Xenopus tropicalis: one gene and its partner. The protein of the gene in region 2 interacts with the protein of the main gene of each other region in a biochemical or structural test. Links are inferred from orthologs where the notes say so. Each region holds a gene or a part of one and is shown on either strand. Other genes may lie near its edges.

Region 1 (4,457 bases), on a different chromosome or scaffold from region 2:
CAGTGCAGAGAAGGGAAAGGGACAGACACAGTGACAGTTACACATAACTATAAACCCAGTGAGAAATGAGGGATGAATGGGTATTGGGGAGTTGTATCAGGAGTCAGAACCAGCAGTGCAGGGAAGGGAAAGGGACAGACACAGTGACAGTTACACATAACTAATAACCCAGTGAGAATGAGGAATGAATGGGTATTGGGGAGTTGTATCAGGAGTCAGAACCAGCAGTGCAGGGAAGGGAAAGGGACAGACACAGTGACAGTTACACATAACTATAACCCAGTGAGAATGAGGAATGAATGGTATTGGGGAGTTGTATCAGGAGTCCAGAACCAGCAGTGCAGGGAAGGGAAAGGGACAGACACAGTGACAGTTACACATAACTATAAACCCAGTGAGAATGAGGGATGAATGGGTATTGGGGAGTTGTATCAGGAGTCAGAACCAGCAGTGCAGGGAAGGGAAAGGGACAGACACAGTGACAGTTACACATAACTATAAACCCAGTGAAGAATGAGGGATGAATGGATATTGGGGGAGTTGTATCAGGAGTCAGAACCAGCAGTGCAGGGAAGGGAAAGGGACAGACACAGTGACAGTTACACATAACTATAAACCCAGTGAGAATGAGGAATGAATGGATATTGGGGAGTTGTATCAGGAGTCAGAACCAGCAGTGCAGGGAAGGGAAAGGGACAGACACAGTGACAGTTACACATAACTATAAACCCAGTGAGAATGAGGAATGAATGGGTATTGGGGAGTTGTATCAGGAGTCAGAACCAGCAGTGCAGGGAAAGGAACAGACACAGTGACAGTTACACATAACTATAAACCCAGTGAGAATGAGGAATGAATGGATATTGGGGAGTTGTATCAGGAGTCAGAACCAGCAGTGCAGGGAAGGGAATGAGGAATGAATGGATATTTGGGTGTAGGACACACATAAGGAGTCATGTGACACAAATGACATCACCAAGCACAGATTATAACAGATGACGTCAGTAATATTATATCATTACATTTCAGTAGGGATAATAATCACGTCTAAACCCTCCCCTGAAATCGGGCCCCCAGATCTTTTAACCCTTCATTGCTATAAAGGGATGTGGGAGTTGCAGTCCAATCACGGTTAGTAAGAGTAAAGGGGAAGCAAAGCCTTAGGAACATATTTTGTGTTATTTAACCATCAGGTGTCACATGACTGAGACCCTTACGGGAACAGACCCCCTGTCAGCATCAGACACTGCTCATTCACCCCAATATCTTCCTGCCCCGATTGCGCAAATACAAAAAAAAACTTACCCTCTCCCGGTTACCATAACAACAAAAGACGCTTCCGGGAACATTCCCAAGCAATATGGCTGCCGTGTATTCCAAGCCTCGTTCTCGCAATGAAAGTTCTGCTGAGTGGTTATGAGGCTTGGTACGCGCAAGGCATTCCCGTTACTAAAACCCTCCTCTGTTCAGGTGACACAGAGCAATGGCGGCCCCTTTATTTTGTAAGGTGGAACGCAAGGCGTTAGGAGCGACTGTTGGAACGCAAGCCGGGGGGGGGGTTTGCGTTCCAATAGGGGTTCCGAGGGGCGGGGCTTCTGAGCCACGTGGTGCTGGTAAAGGTTCGGCTGGAAGGCGGGAAGTGGAGAAGGAGGAAGAGCGCGTCTGGTTATTGTTCCTGTCAGTGAGGGGCCCTGAGGTACAGTATGGGGGGGGGGGTGTATCATGGGGCTGGTGGGCCTGTGCGGGGGTCGGTGGGTGCCCAGCTCATCACTCTAACTTTAGGGCTCAGTAACCTGCCCTGTGGTGTTGGACTACAGCTCCCAGCTACTCTCTTTCCCTGCTGTATATTACTCCTGTTCCTGCCCCTCTCCTACCCAGGTACCGCCCCTCCCCTCCCCAGGTGCCGCCCCTCCCCTCCCCAGGTACCGCCCCTCCCCTCCCCAGGTACCGCCCCTCTCCTCCCCAGGTACCGCCCCCCTCTCCTCCCCAGGTACCGCCCTCCCTCCCCACGTACGCCCCCCCTTTCCCCCCTCCCAGGTGCCGCCCCTCCCTCCCCAGGTACGCCCCCCTCTCCTCCCCATGGTAACCGCCCTTCTCCTCCCCACGGTGCCCCGCCCCTCCCCTCCCCAGGTTGCCGCCCCTCCCCTCCCCAGGTACCGCCCTCCCTCCCCCAGGTACGCCCCTCTCCTCCCCAGGTACGCCCCTCCCCTCCCCAGGTCCCCGGCCCCTCCCTCCCCCAGGTACCGCCCCTCCCTCCCCAGGTACCGCCCCCTCCCCCAGGTACCGCCCCTCCCTCCCAGGTAACCCCGCCCCTCCCCTCCCCAGGTGGCCGCCCCCTCCCCCCAGGTGCCGCCCCCCCCTCCCCAGGTGCCGCCCCTCCCCTCCCCAGGTACCGCCCCTCCCCTCCCCAGGTGGCCGCCCCTACCCCTCCCAGGTGCCGCCCCCTCCTCCCAGGTACCGCCCCTCCCCTTCCCCAGGTCCGCCCCCCCCCCGCCCCTCCCCTCCCCAGGTGCCGCCCTCCCTCCCAGGTACCGCTCCTCCTCCCCAGGTACCGCCCCTCTCCTCCCCAGGTAACCGCCCCTCTCCTCCCCAGGTACCGCCCCTCCCCTCCCCAGGTACCGCCCCTCCGCCTCCCCAGGTACCGGCCCTCCCTCCCCAGGTACCGCCCCTCCTCCCGCAGGTACCCGCCCCTCTCCTCCCCAGGTTACGCCCCTCTCCTCCCCAGGTAACCCCCTGCCCTCCCCAGGTACCGCCCTCCCCTCCCCAGGTACCGCCCGCTCCCTCCCAGGTCCGCCCCTCCCTCCCCAGGTGCCGCCCTCTCCTCCCCAGGTACGCGCCCTCTCCTCCCCAGGTGCCGCCCCTCCGCCTCCCCAGGTACCGCCCCTCTCCTCCCCAGGTACGCCCCCTCCCCAGGTGCCGCCCCTCTCCTCCCAGGTACCGCCCGCTCCTCCAGGTACGCCAGCGCCCCGCTCCTGCCCAGGTACTGCCCTACTCCACTTATACCCAGGTCCTGCCCCGCTCCTGCCCAGGTCCTGCCCCTCTCCTCCCCAGGCACTGCCCCGCTCCTGCCCAGGTCCTGCCCCTCTCCTCCCCAGGCACTGCCCCACTCCTCCCCAGGCACTGCCCCTCTCCTCCCCAGGCACTGCCCCTCTCCTCCCCAGGCACTGCCCCTCTCCTCCCCAGGTACCGCCCCTCTCCTCCCCAGGTACCGCCCCGCTCCTCCCCAGGCACCGCCCCTCTCCTCCCCAGGCACCGCCCCTCTCCTCCCCAGGCACCGCCCCTCTCCTCCCCAGGCACTGCCCCTCTCCTCCCAGGCACTGCCCCTCTCCTCCCCAGGTACTGCCCCGCTCCTCCCCAGGCACTGCCCCGCTCCTCCCCAGGCACTGCCCCACTCCTCCCCAGGCACTGCCCCACTCCTCCCCAGGCACTGCCCCTCTCCTCCCCAGGCACTGCCCCACTCCTCCCCAGGCACTGCCCCGCTCCTCCCCAGGTACTGCCCCTCTCCTGCCCAGGTACTGCCCCTCTCCTGCCCAGGTCCTGCCCTGCCCAGGTCCTGCCCCGCCCCTGCCCAGGTCCTGCCCTACCCCACTTATACCCAGGCACTGCCCCGCTCCTGCCCAGGTACTGCCCTACCCCACTTATACCCAGGTACTGCCCCGCTACTGCCCAGGCACTGCCCTACTCCACTTATACCCAGGCACTGCCCCGCCCCTGCCCAGGTCCTGCCCTACCCCACTTATACCCAGGCACTGCCCCGCTACTGCCCAGGCACTGCCCTACTCCACTTATACCCAGGTCCTGCCCTGCTCCTGCCCAGGTACTGCCCTACCCAGGCACTGCCCTACTCCACTTATACCCAGGTCCTGCCCCGCTCCTGCCCAGGCACTGTCCTGCTTATATCCACTTACTGCCCTGCCCATACCCAGGTACTGACCTGTCCCTTTCCTGCCTTCCAGTTGTAGCTGAGCAGAATGGCCGAGAGACCGGAAGATCTGAACTTGCCCAACGCTGTGGTCACGCGGATCATTAAGGAAGCTGTAAGTGAAGTGTTAGCTGTTGGGTTTCCGCTGTTGTTCAGATGGGTCTGCCATGTTCTACACCCTTACAATAGGACTCCACTAACAGAACTCCTGATCCAGTTGGCACTACTGGGTTCCCTCCCACAGCCCAAATACACACACAGGCAGCTCATTGGCCCCTGATAAAACTGCCCCTGTATGTGTGTAATAAGGACCTTAGATTGTAAGCTCCATGTGGCAGGGGCTGATGTTTAATCTCTGCATGGAGCTGCTATACATGTTGTGTGTATATATATATATATATAGCAGCTTGTAGTGTCATGTGATGCAACTCCCTAGGGCTGTAGGGTCTCATCACCAAACCAACTTCCTAAATGCTCCCAACTAATGCTGATTGTCTTCTCTTCCAGCTCCCAGAAGGGGTTAATATCTCCAAAG
Region 2 (3,813 bases):
TGGTACGTATAGGCAGAGTAGGGCAGGCAGAGTATGGCACACACAGGCTGTACTCTGCCTGTGTGTGTGTGCGCCATACTCTGCCTGCCCTATGCTGCCTGCGTGTGCCTTACTCTGCCTACCCTATGCTGCCTGCATGTGCCATACTCTGCCTGCCTTATGCTGCCTGTGTGTGCCTTACTCTGCCTACCCTATGCTGCCTGTTAGAGGTAAACCTGGCAGGGGTTTATTCTGGAAGTTTGTTAGCATTTGGAAATAGTAATATATGGTCCCTAAGATGTGTAATTTTATACTGGGGGATGCTGTGCTATCCACAGGTGAGGAGGAGGCATATGGATTTAAGGGTGTGTCGTAAATATTATAATTCTTTCACATATGAATGAAGGGTGATATCCCTACATCATTTGGGTTTTTGCTGCACTAACACCCTTACTGTTAGAAGCTCTTGTGATGGGTGTGGTTGGAAGTGTTTGTGGTTTTAAAAAAAAAAAAAAAAAAAAGGGGGGGGGTGGTCAAAACTGACTTCCATTATCGGCCCTTTGTACCACAGAAATTGGACAACACTGGTCTAGATATTTGAGTCATTCACAGGAATGACTCCAGATATTTTTATGGTTGTATCAATGGTGTGGGGTTTTTTTTTTTTTTTTTTTGCTTAATGTTTTACTGACTAACCTTTTTCCATATATTTCAGGTAGATTAGTGGACCAAAACCTAAATAAATTAGGGAAGGACGAAATGCTTCAAATGATTCGACATGGTGCTACTCATGTATTTGCATCAAAGGATAGTGAAATCACAGAGGAAGACATTAATGCAATCTTGGAGAGAGGGGAGAAGAAGGTACATTTTTATAGGCCTTTAACACTGAAGAGACATACAGAATCTCTCTGAACAAACTGTTACCCAGGATATTGTAATATATGCTAGCAATAGGATACCATTGGCACACCAGATGTTAGCATTTTTGAGTTGTTATGCAACAGTATACATTATTCCATTACTTTTTTTGCATTTTCTTTTTTTCCTTTAAGACTGCAGAAATGAATGAGAAACTCTCAAACATGGGTGAAAGTTCCCTTAGAAACTTCACGGTGGATAATGAATCCAGTGTTTATAACTTTGAAGGTGAAGATTACAGAGAAAAGCAAAAGGTGAGTCATATTTTCCATAGGTGTGTATTTAGTCTTACGGGCTTCTATAATTGGCTTCTTGCTTAATATGAGCTTCAGAAAATATGGGTGTTATCTAAAGATGCTAAGATTGTATAAAGTATGATAAACAATTAACTACAAAGATAATTAAAATTACTCCTTGAGTACCATAAAAATTTCCATGATTTTAAAAAAGTTAAAAACTATTCAAGTTAAGCATTATGGGAATCCTAACTTTCTTTCTGATATTAACTTATAGATGGCATTTACAGAGTGGATTGAACCACCGAAAAGGGAACGAAAAGCTAATTACGCGGTAGATGCGTATTTCCGCGAAGCACTCCGTGTTAGCGAGCCAAAAGTACCAAAGGTGAGTAGCTGAGTGCTACAGCAGTACTGGATGCAGTGAGAGGGATCACTAATTACTTTAGATCTGGAAATGGTATTTTTGGGTAGGGCTACAAAAGTCCAAAGCTGTATTTGGGGGTAATTGATTCAGCATTGTCATATATGGTATTGCTGTTTCAAGTACATGAGTTGTATTTGTCATAAGTCTGTGAGACCTTGGGATGGGAGGGTAAGTTGAAAATATACTGCTTAAAGTAATGCAGATATTTGCTGCAGGGGTAGATGATGGTTACTAATGTTACAAGATTTAGATCTTTAAACGCATCTCTAGAGGTGTGAAATATTGCGCTAATTAGAAAAGTTCATGCTAAGCTGCTCCTTGCTGATGTAAAGAATTGTCTGCCATATAAACTACAGAAGCTCATTCTAGTTTCCATCTCTATATGTAATTATCTGTATAGTGGAGACATGAGCTTGAAAAGAAAAATGTTGGTTCCCTTACTGTGCAGCTTATGTCATGTAAATAATATTATGTCTTATAGGCTCCCAGACCCCCAAAACAGCCAAATGTTCAAGATTTTCAGTTTTTCCCTCCACGTCTATTTGAGTTATTGGAAAAAGAAATTCTCTATTACAGGAAAACAATTGGCTACAAGGTAAGTTCTCATTTCTAAATTAAATGTGATAAGTGCCAATTTGTTTTGCAAGGTTCCTATTAAGTCTTTTCTCTGCAGCTAAAGCCATAGCTGTTATTGTAGTGTTTGGTTGGTAGTATGCAGGTTCCATTGTGCACACATTACTTGTATTGCGGCACACAAAATAAATGTTTTGTAAACCAATGCATATCTGCTTCAGGCCTAGCCTTCTCTTACGCATGTTTGGGTGAAACGACCTCCAGCATACCTACTTTCTCTTGCATGTAGGATAGTCCTTCCCAACAGGCAATGATAATGAATTATAGAAACATTTCTCATTTGATATATAGTGAATTTGCAGGAGCTCAATAAGGTGGTTTGCTTGATTACAAAAACAAAGAGAAGACAATTGGCAAAGGAAGTCAATATGCAATTCAGAGTTATGCAGGGATGCCAGATTGCAAAACAAGATACATTCCATGCACTTTCAGTTTGTAGATGATTTGCTTTACCCCCATTATTCCTAAATCAGAAAATGTTTTTTGAAATGCCAGAGAAATTAATTTTGCCATCTGCTCAAACCACTTGCTGTTTTATGCATATTGATATGACAATTATTTTTTCTTGCTTATTTTAGGTACCACGTAATCCTGATCTGCCAAATGCAGCACAAGCACAAAAGGAAGAACAACTAAAAATTGATGAGGCAGAGCCCCTCAATGATGAAGAGTTAGAGGAGAAAGAGAAATTGTTAACTCAGGTAGGAAGAAACAGTACAGTGCTTTGAAGAGAAACTGCATTTTTAATATGGACAGGATGAAAGTTTGATTAGCGTTGATAAGGTAGATGGTGTATGTAGGGTTTGAGACCAAAAAGCTTGTTGTTTTTAGCCTGTACAGTTCTGTTGCCTGTAGACGTACATTCAAGCATGTTCAGATTCTGGAAGAGTTATGTATGTTTTCCTCTCATGACTTTCAGGGTTTCACAAACTGGAATAAGAGAGATTTCAACCAGTTTATTAAGGCTAATGAGAAATGGGGTCGTGATGATATTGAAAATATTGCGCGGGAAGTGGAAGGCAAGACACCAGAGGAAGTCATTGAGTATTCAGGTAATCCTTTCATTGTAGACACAAATGTTTTTAATTGCTAAATAAACTAGTACAGTATTGTGGATATTCACTGGAAGACCTTCCTAAGCTTAATATGCATTTAGCTTCTGCTTTCACATACTTTTTATTTATTTATTCTCAGGCTCCTGGGCAAGTATTTGCTATGAGACCTATAAAGTCATATTGCTACCTATAACTCTGTACTCAGAAGCCTGTAGTTTCTTTTTATTGTTCCAAGTAACAATTTAATTTTTTTCATTTAGCGGTCTTCTGGGAAAGGTGCAATGAGCTTCAAGATATCGAGAAGATAATGGCTCAAATAGAAAGGGGAGAAGCGAGGATACAGAGGAGGATTAGCATAAAGAAAGCTCTAGACACAAAGGTACCATTGGTATTTGCACACAGTTTAGACTGACGCTTTATTTTTTGCTTAAATTGCTGTGCACATTAAACCCTGCCAGTAGATCCACACACACACACACTAAGGTACAGAGTTATTTACATGCAGGCCTGCTATTAGAAACTCGTGTGGCTTTGAAGAAGAAAATCTGTACCGATTTTATGA

Evidence for each region.
Region 1: the proteins of smarca5 (region 2) and pole3 form a complex in vitro, tested with the Homo sapiens proteins (2 studies listed by BioGRID). The link is inferred for Xenopus tropicalis from reciprocal best matches to the Homo sapiens genes SMARCA5 and POLE3.

Annotation. Positions count from the first base shown.
Region 1 is NC_030684.2:2,369,507-2,373,963, forward strand, and holds the start of pole3 (DNA polymerase epsilon subunit 3), read left to right. Parts: upstream 1-1,652; 5' UTR 1,653-1,696; intron 1,697-3,956; 5' UTR 3,957-3,971; coding exon 3,972-4,037; intron 4,038-4,429; coding exon 4,430-4,457. UniProt on the Homo sapiens protein: Accessory component of the DNA polymerase epsilon complex. Participates in DNA repair and in chromosomal DNA replication.
Region 2 is NC_030677.2:59,224,536-59,228,348, reverse strand, and holds part of smarca5 (SWI/SNF-related matrix-associated actin-dependent regulator of chromatin subfamily A member 5), read left to right. Parts: intron 1-694; coding exon 695-843; intron 844-1,034; coding exon 1,035-1,154; intron 1,155-1,413; coding exon 1,414-1,524; intron 1,525-2,044; coding exon 2,045-2,158; intron 2,159-2,774; coding exon 2,775-2,897; intron 2,898-3,115; coding exon 3,116-3,248; intron 3,249-3,511; coding exon 3,512-3,630; intron 3,631-3,813. UniProt on the Homo sapiens protein: ATPase that possesses intrinsic ATP-dependent nucleosome-remodeling activity.